Lonchura striata: one gene and its partner. The protein of the gene in region 1 purifies or fractionates together with the protein of each later gene. This does not show direct contact. Links are inferred from orthologs where the notes say so. Each region holds a gene or a part of one and is shown on either strand. Other genes may lie near its edges.

Region 1 (8,145 bases):
ATTCCGACTATATAAAGCCACGAGTGCCATGGAGTGGGGTATGCAGCCTGGCATTCCAGCTGCCTAGAAATCCTCAGAAGGCTTCAAAGAGATCAGCAGCACTGGCCTGTCCAAAAGCCTGCCTAAATGCTGCATGCCCCTACAGAGAACAGTGGAAACTCAACACTTGAGAAGAACAGGAGGCTACAAAATCACTGTGCAGAATTTTCTGCAGCAACATGCTCAGCTCCTTGCAGAGATGTCACTCCTAGTGCCTCAGTGACTTCTCTCCTGCAGCAACCAATTGCACGCACATCAGCTGAACTGTAGAATAGTAACAGTAATAGTACAGAGCCCTATGTTCCAATTTCATCACCTCCTGCAGAATTTACATGGAATAAAGCACCATCATTCAGAGATTATCTTCCCTTCCAAGATTTGTTGCCCTTCAAGCATCTGAATTTACTACACATCCCCGCCAGACCATAACGTCTACTAATTACCTTAACCCTCCTTCTGAGCACATGTGTGAGGCACTAACTTTCCTTCTGAGATGTTGATCTGTGCAACCTAAACCCAGGCAAAAAACGAAAACTTAAGGATTTACTAAAGTTAAGTCATGACTAACAACATGATTCTCCCCCAGCACACTGTCAGGCACTGTACAAACTACTTTGTAGTTGGTTTCTTATTTTTACAGGGCAAAGGAGAAAACTGTATCACACTCCAGAAGTTAAAATACTTGTACCAGAGTACAAAGCTTTAAAGGTAAATTTCTCCCTGCTTTCCAAGATTTAATTTTATCCATGTGACAATCTAAGGGTAGTCTAGACCCCTGAGCACTGAAGCAGCACCACTACACAGCAAATGTTTAATTGGGCAGACAAGTGCTCAACTGTTTTGACATCAAGCCAGGAAAAAAAGAGTTATTTCACAGATCAAAGTTCTTTAAGCTCCTGTTAAAAGCAATAACATTTACTTCACTACCTGGCTTAGAAAACATCTAGCAGAAAATGAGTGCTATCTCATAAGTATGGCTGGGATTTTTACAACATACAGGGAAAGTCTACTGGAGATAAGGGCACCACAGAGAAATATCTTAAACAGACCAGCAGAGGCACAGAACACCTGGCAGGAACAGAGTTTTCACTGACTTCTATTTTTATTTCACGTAAGTCTCAGAACAGAGCACAGACCAGATATACACTTTAAGCCACAACCAAACTGCATCTTTCCAACTCCTATACATAAGGAATGCTAATAATTTCTTAATATACAAAGTAAGTTTTCCTTGCTGTAAATCAAGATGATAATTTCTCTCTAGTAAAACTAAATGCCTTCTATCTTTCTCATGAGAGCTTCTCACACACCAGAAGATTCAGGAATCTATTCTGTCCAAACTGGAATGAAGAACTGTACAGCATTATTGCTGTATGCTGTCACTTAGAACATGTAAAATCCACACACCTGGAAAGCTTCTGTCTTCTCCCATACTCCCTATTTGGTTTAAGGCATATGAAAGTTTTGTTTTCTCCAGATGTTCTCCTCAAACATCACATTTCCTGAGCTTATTAAAATAGCTATTCCCCTTTCCAAACTGCCCAAAGCACTTAAAAGGATTGTTCAAAAACAGATGTAGCACTTCAGCTAACATCCCTATGTGCACCCTTAGGAGAAGGGAGTTGTCTGTGTATCCCTACTACTACTACAGCCTCAAACACAATTCATAATGCCTGAGACAAACTCTTACTAAGAAGCAACATAGTGATCCACAAGATGTGGCAAAAAACAACCCAATTAAATTTTAGATTTAAACATTTAAATCTAATAATTTAAATACTACTGTGACTTACAAAAGAATTCTCATCAACTTATTCTGGTAACCTTGAGTCACTTTATAAAGGGTCTTCACTTTACAGACCTTGTAAGAATGACAGAAATACCCAACACTTAATTTTACACTTACTTCTGTAACATTAAGTTGTATAATTTTTCCCCTTTCCTAGGCTATTTAAGCTCATCATATCCTTCCTAGGTATTCATACAATGTCTCTTTCACTAATAAGTTAAAAACAAGGATCAAAAGCCACATCAAAACAGATTACTCTATGTATCCTATCTATTGCAGTTCCACAGTAACAGATACCTGGCCTTGTCAAAATAACTCAGACTCCCCACAAAAGATCTGTATAGACACAAGAGAACAAGCAGGGAGAGCATTCAGTAAGTAATTTGGCTTCTTCTATTTATATTGTCATTACAGAGTATGAAGAATCACTGGAGGGTGATTTGAAACATTCAAACCAAGGTACTCAAGTCACTTTTCAGTATAAACAGCTTTCATGCCAAGAAAACTCAAGTTAAGGATTTCAAATACTAAGATAGTAGTCATTAATGACCAGGTAATAGAAATACAGGGCTCTGCCTAAATTAGTATATCTCTGTAATGTAGTTTATCTCAGGGCTGAACACCAGCAGCTCTACCACAATAAGATCAAAATGTAAAATATTCTGGGACTTGATGAAAGAAACTCAAAAACCTTACATTACAAATATAAAACATAGCTTTATAAAAACAAAGAAGTTACTTGTAAGGTATAGTATCCTTTTACTTTGCTAGACTCAACTTGAGCCAGATAACACCTCAAATCTTATGACACCATCTGGTGGCAGAGTTCACAGAGGAGGATTACCACATGCTAAAAAAAAACTTCAACATTTTAAATTTGATCCTGAACAAATTTACATTTTATTCTGGATATCTTATTAGTTTTTTCAAGATAAGATGGAAAGAAAATTGATAGATTTACCTAGATACTACAAGTTGTATCTCTGTATACAATTTAGGTATGCATTTAGAGGACTGCTGTTACTCTGTACTGGATTGACAGTTCTGCAGGAATTAAAATGTCTTTAGCTGACATCTCTTCACATATGTGATATTTTTGAACATAGGGAATAGAAGCTGCCTGAAGTCTGGTCACAGTGACCAAACAGACTTAGGTAACATGCGAACAAAATTTGGGTAAAACCAATGTCTTTCTCCAAACTGAAAATGCCAGAGTATAGCACCTATTTAGCTAACTTTACATACAAAAATCAGTCATTAGTGGAACACATCAAGTAGTGCAAGTGCAGCTGCCTTTTACTGCCAGTTCAGCTGAAATCGAGCAAGGACTTTAAAAAAAAACAAAACACAATTCAGTTGTTTTTAACAGGAGCTACTTCAGGATAGAAATCTATTTTCCAAGGTAAAAAGTTACAGAGACACATTGCATTGGCCCTTAGAACTTGCAGTAGTAATCCCAAATACTGCAATGCTAATGGGAATAAGCTTCTAAACTTCAGCAAAGCTATTAATAAATTTTTGGAAGGCTTAAGTATTTGGGGTTTTTTTTAGGCCAGGATTTGTCAGTTCAGCAAAACAGCCAATTTGTTAAATGCAGTAATTAAGGTTTAACTGAAAGAAGTAGCAAATAACTGAAGAACAGCAATAAGCAACAGAGATGTAGGACATGTAAGCCTGGAAATTCATGTTGAAAACAAAGTCCATAAATTCTCAATTCTATTCTCTCTTAGGACACACCACCTCAGAACCTATCTGTTCTTTAAAGTTCATCAGGTGTAGAAGGGAAGGTGAGAAAGAAGGTTTTTACCTGCATGAGAAGATTATTACCAAACCTCCATCTATACTGAAGCATGAACTTTAACCATCAATGAAGTATACTGAAGAATGAACTTCAATAATTTATGTCACTTGTATCCAATATTTCATAAACTTTTACAAACTGACATCCATATGCACACCCAAGCAGTTCTTTATGTACGTTTGGATTTGAACCACCCTGTGTGCAATGATGAAGGATTACTTTTAAACACCCCATATTTCATCATACTATTATGACTTGTTTCACGCTGTCAGTCCCATTCCTTTAAAGTTACCAGATATTTATCACTAAACTGATACATGATTTCACTACAACACATTTTTAGATATTTGCTTATGAGGAAGGCAGCTAAACAACCTATATTCAGTCACACTTCATCCCCGGAAACACTTCTGGCAAGTATGAAGAGGCATTAGGGCAGCTACACACCTGGCACAGAGACGCCTCCGCCCTAACGCCCCTGTTCTACAGCAGGGCATCAAAGTCCAGGATCACAACAGCAGTAGGGGATGCTCACGAGGCAAAGCACAGCGCATGCCCGCCCCAAGGCGAGATGCCGCTGCCGCAGCCCCTCTCGGCCGGGCTCGCCCTGCCGCCCTCCACAGGCCGCCCACTCCGCCGGAGCCGCAGCAACCCCCATCGCCCCCGGCCACCACCGCTCTCCCCAAGCCCTCTGCCCCGCACAGCCCCGGTACTCACGGATCCCACCCCTCTGCAGGGCAGCAGCCCGGCAGCCCATTCCCCCGTGGGGCCGAGGAGGCCCGGCCACCGCCGCCCGGGAGCGGTGCCGGCACGGCGCGCACCGGGCCCGGCCCGCAGCACCGCGCGGTTCGGCGGGGCACGGCGCGGCCACCAATGGGCCGGCGGGAAGGGGCCGCGCTGCACGCTGGGCGGCACGCCTGCGTGCCCGCGGGGCCTGCCGGGAAATGCAGTCCCGACCGCCGTGGACAGCCGACAGGCGAACCAACTTAATGGCGGGGGCACCAGCACCGGCCGGCTGGGGGCATTCACCAGCAGATAATGGTAATAGAGGTTATTGTTGTTGTGTGTAAATACAGCGCTTTAAACACGCTTAGTGCTACGTGTTACCGCTCTACAAATCAGACGCTGCAGACGGCGGGTATCTCAGCAGCGAGACGCTGTGGACATCACGCTGGGCAGGGCGGCTGCCCCTGGGAAATGTGCTCCAGGGACAGTTCTTAAGGCAGGAGGGGAAGGGCGCGGGCTGTGCAGTGTGCGGTAAGCCTTACTCCACTGGGACCTTTCACGAGGCCAAACTCCCCCCAGATGCTGAGAGAGACAAGGGAAACCAAGACCGAGTTCTGAGAGCTCAGCAGCAGTTTCACTGGAAGAGGGGACTTTAGGAGCCACGTAAGCTGATGCTGTGAAAACTACCGGCTGCGTTTACAGTGCTTACAGTCCTACAGCAGGTGCGGGATGTGACACCAACCTCTGAGAAGAACTTATCCACACCTGAGAAGGAATATACCTCAGGAAAGGCTGCGCGGTTCAGCTGAAAAGGATGAGGTCGGTGATTGCGAACAGCAGCTTTCCCTTTCTGCCCTCCTCTCCACTGGTGACAGAAGGGGACTGACACTCATCGTCCTAGTAGAGAATAGTAACTGGAGAAAAACCCCACCGATACAAATAAGGCCGCTTCTTGACTGCACTGTTTGCTGCCGCAGCTGCGGTCGGCACGGGCGGACCGCGGGCACTGCCCAGCCGGCACTGACACCCGAGGGGCAGGGCAGCAGGCAGGGCAGCCCCGCGCGCCGCCATGCCGGGTGGGCAGGCCGCCGTTCCCGCCCGCCGCCGTGTGAGGGCGCTGCGGGCGGCGCGTTCCTCCGCCGCACTGGGAGCGGCGGTGAGCGGGGCGGGGCGGGGCGGGCGCCGCTTCCGGGGGCGGCGGGGACGGGCGGGACATGCGAGCTTAAGGGGGCGGCCCGGCCCGGCGCGAGGGAGCGGCGGTGGGTGTGTGACGGGTTGGGCTGTGGCAGCTTGCGGCGCCCCAGGTAAGGTGTCAGGCTGTCCGTTCCGGTCCCGTCCTCCTCCGCGCCGCCTGGCGCCCTGCGGCTGCCGGGGGCCGCTGTGGGGCGAGGCGGGCCTGGCCCGGTGCGGTTGCCGTCCTATGTCGGCTGTGCTGGGTAATGGGGCGGCCGGGATCCGGGCCCGGGCCCTCCGAGCCCCCGCCTCAGCTGTGTGCGGGGAGGCCTCGTGGGCTCGCCCATACCGGGGGCGGCAGTGCCGTGTCCAGGTGGTTTTTGATTGCTTGGCGAGAGCCCGTGAATTGCGCTGTTAGTAGCGTCCAGGAGAAAACCCACCTCTTGTTGCTTCTTATTAAGCTTATGTGTTGTGTCTGCTGCCTTTAGACTAATCTGTAAAATGCTGTAGTGTCAATGTAGTAAACAATAAGAATCGAAGTGCTTCTTGTGCTTCTTTCACTTGTACGTCTCAATGCCCTTGGTCCTTCTGGGAAGCTCCTAATGAGTCAGCTTTATTTTTCGCTTTTTTTCCCTTTTTTCTCTTTCTGTTTCAGTTAATGTGAAGTCAGCACATGACTTGACACTCTAAGTAAACCTAAAGGAACTTCGGAAATTTCTTTATGCAACTTCTCTATTTGCCTAACTTTTCTTTTTTGTTCTCTTAGAAAGGGTACTGGATGCTCAGTGTTTAGAGCTAAGGGTGCTGTTTTACTTCCTCTTCATAAACAAACATGATTCTGTGCTGTAGAGGGAACAGCTGTTTAGGGACAAAGGAAAAGCCACTTCTGTTATCAATTGCTTGCTTGATTGATCTAATTGAGCACTTAATTGCTTACTGGCAGTCTAGTAGCTAGTCTATGTGCCTGCCCTCCTCTGCTCTGCAGTTTTTGAAGTAGGTTATTATATAGTAGTTTGTGTCTTTAGGAGAAATGGAATCTATAGTAGTTTGTGTCTTTAGGAGAAATGGAATCTCTTGCTGTCATTAAATGGATCCAAGTTTGACTGTGAATTTCTATTGGCCAGATTCTGATCTGGAGGAGGTTTCATGAGGCTTTTTCAGGGGCAAAAATGAGTTGTTGATGTGAGTGTAGAACTGAACTGCACAGAGGAGGTGGCATTGGTAGCGCCTATTCTTTGTGCTATCGCCTTTGTGCAGTGTGTTCAGGAAGCTGATAAGGGAAAGCAGGAAGCACGCCGAGTAGTGTCTTGGTCGTGGGCCCTGGCCTCTTCCTCCAGGGCCACAGATGCTTTATTCATTTTTCTTGTAGCCATAATCATCTGGAGGAGTACATTCTGGTGCCGATACCTTGTGCCTGCATTAGCTGGGCTGAATTTCAGCTAACTAGCAAGTGGGATGGTTGTTTGTGTTAAGGAAGGGTTTTAAAAAACTAAGTTTTCTGTAACGATCTAATTTTGATCTTTGTAAGCATGCACAGGAAATTAATACTTGACATTTACATATCTAAGAATATTGTTTCATTATTTTTTCAATCTTTTGGGGAAGGCAACAGCTCCCTTTACAAGAGAAGGAACTGAGAGCATCCACAATCACCTGAGGCTGCACCAATTTACTGACAGCTAAAAATGCAGCTCATGAGATAGTGGCTTCCAGTCAGTTGCTGCAACAGCTGGGTTGTGCCACCAGCTAGTTCCTATCTTTGTGGTAAGAAGGCATAGACTGTATTTCTCAATCCTACTTGTAGATGCACTGGATAGGCTGTTTCCTTCTCCCCCAGTTTACAAGTTATCAGTGAAGGAGGAAGTTTGTGATATTGATTAAAAGCATAACTTCACAGGCAAAGGGATAGGTGCAAACAGAGGACCTTCAGATGGTAAGGAAGTAATTTATAGTCTGTAGCAAATGTAATTGATATAGCCATTTCTGAATTGCATTGAAAATTCTGAAAGGTATTCAGCCTGTCAGAGGTACAAAACTACTGCTTGTTAGCCAGAGATGCAGAACAAAAATCTTATTCAGGGTGGGTTTGTGAAAGTGCCAGCAATCAAAACAATATTGATCTGGTGCAAGTAGACCTGTCTGGCTTTAGGAAACTTGTCACTTTTGTTAGCCTTTCCCTGTCCAAATGTGGATAGTGTAATTGGAGTTGAACAAGCACTTTATCAGGCCTTGTGGCACCCTGCAGTTAACTTAAATTTATAAATATCAGTAAGGGTTTTGAGTACTTTGGACAGCACAGCCTTAATGTGCTGTGACTGTCATAAAGCAAGGAATTAAGTTTTCTTTTTTCTTAGAGAAAATAAGCATTAGAATTGCTTCTCAGCTAAATGCTGAAGAAGAGTATATTTAGGTCATGTAACTTGCCTACTAGAGCTTTCATTACCATGGAAGTGCCTTATATATATATAAATGTGCCTTTTTATATAAAAGTCCCAGAAGATTATTGGTATTGAAGAAAACTTGAAAATTCTGTGCAAAGTCAGTGTTGTAATGGCTTTTGAACTTTGTTTGCATTGGAAACTGAGTGTGTTGGTATAAATAGTTGGCAAGTAATTCT
Region 2 (7,426 bases), on another chromosome or scaffold:
GGAACCTTTTAATCCCACCCATCACCTCCTTGCTGCTTTAAAACAGGCACAAGGACAATTGTTTTAAGAAGCTCTAGCTGCTGCCTGGGGAATGGATTGGATTTTGCCCTGGGGGCAGCCAGGTGCTTTGCTGGTGTCTCACAGAAGGTGTCCCTGCAGTGGAGCCCTTGGTCCTGGATTGATGCAGAGGCACCCTGCAGCCTGGCCACTGAGCTGGCTGGACAGCAGATGACATGATGCCTTGAGCTGCTATTGTATGGAATTAGCCACTGAGCTGTGACCATTGTAAACCAGACAAAACCACCACTTCACCTGCTGCTCTTGGCCTGTTTTCCAGCAAGGAACAAAGCTCAGGAGCAACTCAACTCTGAGCACCATTTTGTCCTTCACTGCTTCTCACATCTCCTCCAAATGAGTTTGTATGTTGTATGCTCTTCCTCACACCTGGAAAATCTCTCCCAGCTCTGCTGGCAGGTCTAATCTTTCTCTGTTCTTGCTTTAAATACCTTTTATGTCCTTCTCCTTTCATTCAGCCTTTTGATGTTACAGCTTCCCCTCCTCTGCCTGCGTAAAGGCAAAAGTTCTGTTTCCAGAATGGATCTCACCTGCCCAGGGTTGTGCTCACTGTGAGAGGCCACGGGGACAGATTCCCACCTGATGTGGATCATACGGGTCTGCTGGGGTGATACACGACCATGGGTCACAGAAAACATGGTGAATAAGGAACACTGTTCTCTGGTTTTCACTACAAGAGTGAGATCAGGCAGAACCTGCTCCAGGTCAGCCCAAACCAACAGGGAGCTGCTTCCACACGCTGTATGGTCCAACTGCAGAGCTCCTCACCCAGGACACTACAAACTGAGCACCTGGACACCTTACGAGAGAACAAAGCCCACAGGAGACATGAAATACTGAGAACTCTCCTGAGGTTCAGACACTCCCCAAGCTGGAGACCTTTTCCTAAGCTGGAAATTGGGAAAGTATTCTGGGAATACCTTGGTATTCTGGGAATACCCTGTACCCTTCCCTGAGCAAACCCTGCAAGCTGCTGCAGGGGACAGCACCCGGGGATGGGTGGGGCTGGCACCTGGCCCAGGGCAGATCTTCATCCCAGCAGTGAAGTCACAGCACCCTGAGTGTCAGTGCAGGTCTGGACAGGCAGAGGATGAGCCCAGCACTCCCACAGGTGGCACAGCAGGAGAAGGAACCTCCAGAGAGCATCTGGTGCTCACCAGCAGCTGGCTCTGACAGCCAGGCAAATCCAGCTGCTGCTGCAGGGCAGGAGCTCACCCACACTCACCTCTGCGCTTCAGCAGCAGCTCAGCAGCTGCTGGGACAAGACATCCATGGAGTTGTTCAAAGGAAAGGTTTCATTACAACATCTGGCAGTGAAACAGAAGCCAACTGACACTGCCAAAGACAAGGTGGTTTGTCTTGATTTTCTTTCGATTATCAAACTCCATGTCCATTTGGCTAAATTAGACAAAAACTGCTCTCCCATTTTCCTCTAATTTTTGTCAGCAGACTGATGTAAAGCCCTACAGAAGAAGTATGACCAAGTTATATCAGTATCACCCTTTCTACTTCATGAAAACCTACATACACCAAGACTGAAACACACATGGGTTAAGTTAAACATCATCTGATTATTGCTTAGTGTCAGAACAGCTCCGATTGTGTAGAACTGCAGCAGCAAACTCATATATTAATCATTGAAGAACAGCTCACGTACAAAGAGAAGTGTTTGATGTCATCATCTGGCTCAACAGAAACACAGCTAGGCAACAGGAGCCTACAATGAACTGCCTTTAACTGACAGGCTTTGGTGTTTGCATAAGGAATCTTCTATTAGAAAGTTGCCTTTTTGAATTCCAAGGAGTTCCTTGCTTTAGAAATATTTTGGACAGCACGAACAAAAGCTTCTTGTCTGAGATACTATATAGGAAACAGCATTAAAGACAAAAGCTAATATGTGATTGCAGACTCTATTTTGAAAATGCCTCCTGAGGAACAGTTGGTTATTGGAAATATTTTTAAAGCAATTTATTCACAGATTTCCAAGACAGTCTGCACTGCTCATGTTCTCTGAATCAACCAAGCTCCAGTTCTTACAGGATCACCCAGTACCAGCACAAATGACTGTCTCAGACATCTCCCCGGGCTCTCCCTTAAGGGTCACCGGGAATGAGCAATGAATTGAGGCAATAGTAAAATGATGCATTCAGCTGCCTGAATCCTTTTGTGAATGAAGAAGGGTCTGATCAATTCCTATTTACCTCAGCACACTCTTGGTTTCGGAATGGACTTTGGGGGTTCATCGCTGCCTAGCAGGGAATGTTAATGCTTCCATTAATGCTCCATGTAAAAAACTCGGAGCAGGTATTTGGAGAGATGGGAACAAGAAGGAACAGATTATTATCAAGCACTGCTGACAGGAAGCCATTGGCACCGGAGAAGGTGAGGCTGGACTGATCAGACAGCCACCGTCTGCGAGAGAACATTTCATTAAACACGGAAAACAAACAGGACCCGCTTGCCGTGGAGCAGCAGCGCTGGGTGACTCATGCAATTGAACCACCCTGACTCGAACCTGTTGAAGATCTTGGCCCAGCCTTCCCTTTTCAGCACGAATCCGACTAGAGACGTGTCGGTAACCCCCGGGCCGCTGGATAAACACGGCGGGAGCCCACCCGTGCGCTCAGGTGCGGCAGCGGGTCCGACGGGCGGTGCTGCCGCAGCTCCGGCTCCTGCCGAGCCCCCGCCCTGGCAGCCGCGCCCGCCCCCGTGCCCGTGCCCCCCCCCGCGGCACAAGGGCCCCCGAGAGCCGCAGGTGCTCCGCAGCCCTCCGGTACTCACATGGCGAGCGGGGGGCGAGCGGCCGCGCCGGCTCCCTCTCCAGCAAAGATGGCTTTCGGCTCCGCGCCCGCTGCCAGCCGGCTCCTACTGTTGCAGGCACTGTTGTTGGGAGAGGAGGGGTAGGCACCGGCTACTGAGCATGCCTGCGCCTCGCATCAGCGGCTGGGAGCCGAGGCGAGGCTCGGAGCGCCCTGCACGCCCTCCCGGCCGCGGAGCGCCCCGAGCCCGCGGGGGCAGCGCCGGGCCCCGCGCTGGGCGCGGCCACCGCAGCGCTCGCTCGGCCGGCACCTGCGGGCCAGGGGGGAGCCGCGGGGTGTTGCCTTAACAACCTTCCTGCTGCCCCTCCTCGCTAGGAAGAAACGTTTTTTAAAGGAGGAGAATGACGGAAGGTGCTGCCGTTCGATCCCACGCTGCCGTGCGTGTCGTTTCATCCACTTGTGGATGAAAACCCACGGAGCAAATCCAGAGACAGATAAGCTACCAGATCAAGCACTGATTCTGGAAAGGTTATGTCTCAGAGGAAGTACAGCCCTTGCTTCTGGTTTAGATGTCACCTCACATTCGCCCTCAATCCAGGCATCCAGCCTCACCCTCCGTGAATATCAGCACCCCCCTGCGTGCCCCATTCCCCTGTGCAGAACTGAAACTCTGCAACAGCACGTCTTCCTCTGCATGCAAACCAAGGCCTTCACGTACTCTGAACAGAGGTGAAGGAATAAGAAAGTCTGCGTGGTTTTTTAAGAAGTGGTATTTAACACTGCTGCCCCAATGATACCTTGTTCATTTGTGAAAAGATGCTTCACCTGTCACTGCCTTCACTAATTTTCCATGGGTGTCAGTGGCAGCCAGCCCTGGCCTTTCCAACCAGGTATTTGGGTAAGGCAAGTACCTAGCAAGCTTTGCTAGGTACCTAGACCTCAAATCTTGGGGTGCCTGTTGGGAATAAAGTGCAACAGTGTCATCAGATCAAATCTGTGCTTTCTGATGTGGAAATCTAAGAAAAGGTGAATTGTTCCTCAAAGCAATAGGCAAAAGCACCCCAGTTACTGGGAGTGAGGAAGGCATCAATGCAAATTTCTTAGCTTGTTATCAGCCAGCTGAGTATTTTCATGCAGAATGTAGCCAGGGAATGTGACAGCACCCACAGCCCAGACACCAGGACACCCAGCTCCTGCCCAGATCTGGGCTCAGGTGTTATCACAGCCTGGCTCAGATGTAAGCCATGGGCTGTCAGCTCTGAAGGGATCCAGCTCTCTGGGGAAGTATGGAACTCCTCAGAGTGACACTCACAGGAACCTCTCCCTTCTCTTCTGCTGCCTGAGAGCTTGTTCACTGCATTAAAGACTCCTCATACCTCCTGCCACTGCATTCTGTCTCTTCTGCTGGAGCCAATTGTCTGCATGAATGAATAAATACCACTTGGACATTTTGGGCACCACTTCGAGCCTTAGGTTTTTCAATCATAGATCACACTCATGAGAGCCTGGCCATAGAAACCTTTCCTGATGGAAGTAAAAAACACTTCAAACTGTATTTTCTCTATGTGAAGATAGAGTTTCAACCAATTGGCACGCCCTGATGACAATCAGGAGATGCCCAACTTTATCCACCCACAGATTACTTAGCTCAGCAATTCTCATCTGGAATTCCTCCTTCCTTCTGTGCCGAGGAGAGTTTACTTTTCAGCTATCCTAGACAAAGATACATTCATGTCATATATTATATATATGATTGTTTGTATGATATATTTACGTGATTATTTGTGTGATGCCACAGCAGCACCCACACTCAGGCCAGCACCAAACACAGGCACAACCTGATACCAGGAGCATTCTCACCTTCATCTTTAAACACAAGCCACACCTGAATATTGAGAAAGTAACAAGTCATTCCTGACTTGTGAGGTCAGGAGCTTCTGGGACAGAGACGTCTTCCACCAGACCTTTCTGCCCATTCTGTGGTCTCACTTCCACCCATGCAGGGTGGAACAAGTGCTGGTGCTAGACCAAAGCTCACAAGTCTCCAAAAAAAACCAAAACCAAAACCAACCAAACAAAAAAAACTCCCCCCCCCCAAAAAAAAAAAAAACCTGGAAGACTCCAAATCCAACATATTGAAAAGTTTTATTATACAAACTATCCAGAGCAAATGAAGCAAATGATAGTGTTTGTGCTGACCCCATGCCACCTTTATCCCTATTGAAGGGGAACAGAAAATATCCACACAAGCATAAAGGTGAAATGGCAGTCAGGAAACTTAGAAATCAGAAATTAGCAGAAGCATTCCACTACAGGGAAAACACCTCAGACCTTGTGAGCACAGTGCAGAATCAGCTAAAGCTACCCCAGTGCCCCAGATCATCTGGCTGTGGCTTCCTCCAGAGTGGTAACAGAGAGGTCTCTAAACCAGATTAAACAACATCATTGCACTGTAGCTGCTAAAAATAGAATTTCGTACCAGCTAATGAAGGCATCACCATTCCAATCCAAGAAGGCTCACAATCCTGAGGAAAAGCCACAGCTGATCTGGGGGACATTTCCTATAGCCCTACATTCCCTGAAGCTTGCAGATTGCCATTAAAGGCCACCAAACCCTTTGGTGTTAGAAGAGATGCAGAGACACCCTGTGGTGGCAAAACTAGTATGACCAGAATGAGTCCAAACAGCTTAAATGTCATTTAAGTCACAGAACTGAATCAGAAAATCTGCATCCTGGTGACACAGAGAAATTGTCCCCCCGTTGCTATCCAAATAGTTTCTCTGGAACTCCTCTCCTGTCTGGCATCTTTTGCTCTGTCTGTTTGCACTGCCACAGAGATTTTCCCTCTTGTTCTGTTTGGTGTAACAACAACAGCAGGATCAGGGCTGGTGCAGTTGGAGGCTATGAAAATGCTCCACTTTTGGAAAATAACTTCCTACATCTTCATCCCGCCCCTCTTGGGTATTGAAAACAATCAGTCTGCTTTGTAAACTCTTGGGGTTTTATCCCGTCCATAATTTGTATTTTATCCTGAAGCAAAATTTTGTTTATGAAGGCAGTTTCAGAGCCACCAATACACTGCTGAGGATGTTCCAGAATGAAAGCCAACCAGCCACCATCATAAGTGGAAATCAATTCTGGCACCTGGAGTCTTGCAGGTGCTATAATTTGCTTATAATTATCTAGGGGCAACCTGGAGATAGAAGACTGAGGCTCCTGAAAATCTTATATACTGCTGTTACATGATCTTCACCTGAGGGAAATGTATTTTCTCGTGGATCTGCAAGTAGGATCCCCACACAGAGGAGTCATCATGTAGTCCACAGCTTTATAGAGTACCCATACAATAGAGTAAATCTCAGGGCCAGCCACAGTAACACCAGTACTGGTTACTTTGGCTCACAAAACAAAACACTGTTAGTGCCAAATAAGAAGGCTGAGAGCAGTTAATTGGTTTATAGAAAGTAATGGTAATTAAGTTTCACAAGATTTAAGCAGAAAAGAAAAGCAAGGCAAATAAATCAATTATTCAAATGCTGCATTTTCAAATCTTCTGATCTGGCAGTGCATTTAAACAAAGTATAGGAGGAATTCCCCCTAAATCTCCAGAACTTATGCCACTGGAAATTCATCATAGCCAGACAAATTAATCCTTAAAAGAGAAATTAAACACTAGACATGTGCAAAGTACATTTTTCTCAGAAACTATTGCTCGAAAGGATTAAGAAAATATCTGTTCTATGTATCTTCAATCCTTTGTCAGTTCTACATGTTTATTTTAAGTAGTTTGTTTTCTTCTCTTGACTTTTTAGAAAAGTGGAATTGGTACTGAACGAGCCAGCCTTTGCAGCTCACTTCTCAGAAGCAAGGCAGATGCCTGCCTGCCCAGTTGCTGCCTCTATTAGCCACAGGTGGTCTGTTCTGCAGAGCTTCACTTCAGCACCACTGCTTGCCGAAAATGGGTCTTGCATTTGCAGATTATTTTGTCGCAAATTAAAACCTCAATCTGTATTTGTGGGGTGTGTAATTTCCTTTCACTCACAACTTCTATTAATTTCTTCACAGCATATTAGTGCTTTAGTGACCATTTCCTTTTACAGGTCAGTAAAGCATTTGTAATTCCTCTCAAAAATTGTCTTTTCTGCCATTTCTCTGAGAGATCCAGGTCCAGCTTACCTGGGTTCTGTTAAAACCCTGAGTAGTTCATTAGCAAGCCTGAGTAGCAAGGTGTGATGCTCTGTGCTCCTTCAAAGGATTTACAGTTCTTGTTAAAGTATATTATTGGATAATTTTGAAAACTTTGCAGGTATGATCCTACCAAGCATTTGCACAGTGAGGCCCACTCCCTCCTGCCTGTGTGTGTCCCTGTGGTAAAAACTGGGTACAGGGAACTCTGCTTAAAAGTCTGTGAGGGGCTGAGGAGGGAGAAGAGTAAAAGAAGAAAAGTTAAAAATTGTTGCCAATTTTGTTTTTAAGCCTTTGTGTGGTTTGATTTAGAAGATTTGTGGGAAGTATTTGTAGCAGACAGGAACAAGACAACAGACAGAGGAGGGGGGGGAGCATGACCCTCCAAGTCAAGCAACTAAAAGTT

Evidence for each region. The genes of interacting proteins can lie anywhere in the genome.
Region 2: the proteins of SNAP23 (region 1) and VAMP2 purify together in Homo sapiens (affinity purification with western blotting; 4 studies listed by BioGRID and IntAct, with this or other methods). This does not show direct contact. The link is inferred for Lonchura striata from reciprocal best matches to the Homo sapiens genes SNAP23 and VAMP2.

What each region holds. Positions count from the first base shown.
Region 1 is NC_134608.1:36,271,233-36,279,377, reverse strand, and holds the start of SNAP23 (synaptosomal-associated protein 23), read left to right. Parts: upstream 1-5,035; 5' UTR 5,036-5,174; intron 5,175-5,551; exon of another isoform or gene 5,552-5,659; intron 5,660-8,145. UniProt on the Homo sapiens protein: Essential component of the high affinity receptor for the general membrane fusion machinery and an important regulator of transport vesicle docking and fusion.
Region 2 is NC_134612.1:2,059,565-2,066,990, reverse strand, and holds the start of VAMP2 (vesicle-associated membrane protein 2), read right to left. Parts: upstream 3,080-7,426; 5' UTR 2,859-3,079; coding exon 2,857-2,858; intron 1-2,856. UniProt on the Homo sapiens protein: Involved in the targeting and/or fusion of transport vesicles to their target membrane. Major SNARE protein of synaptic vesicles which mediates fusion of synaptic vesicles to release neurotransmitters.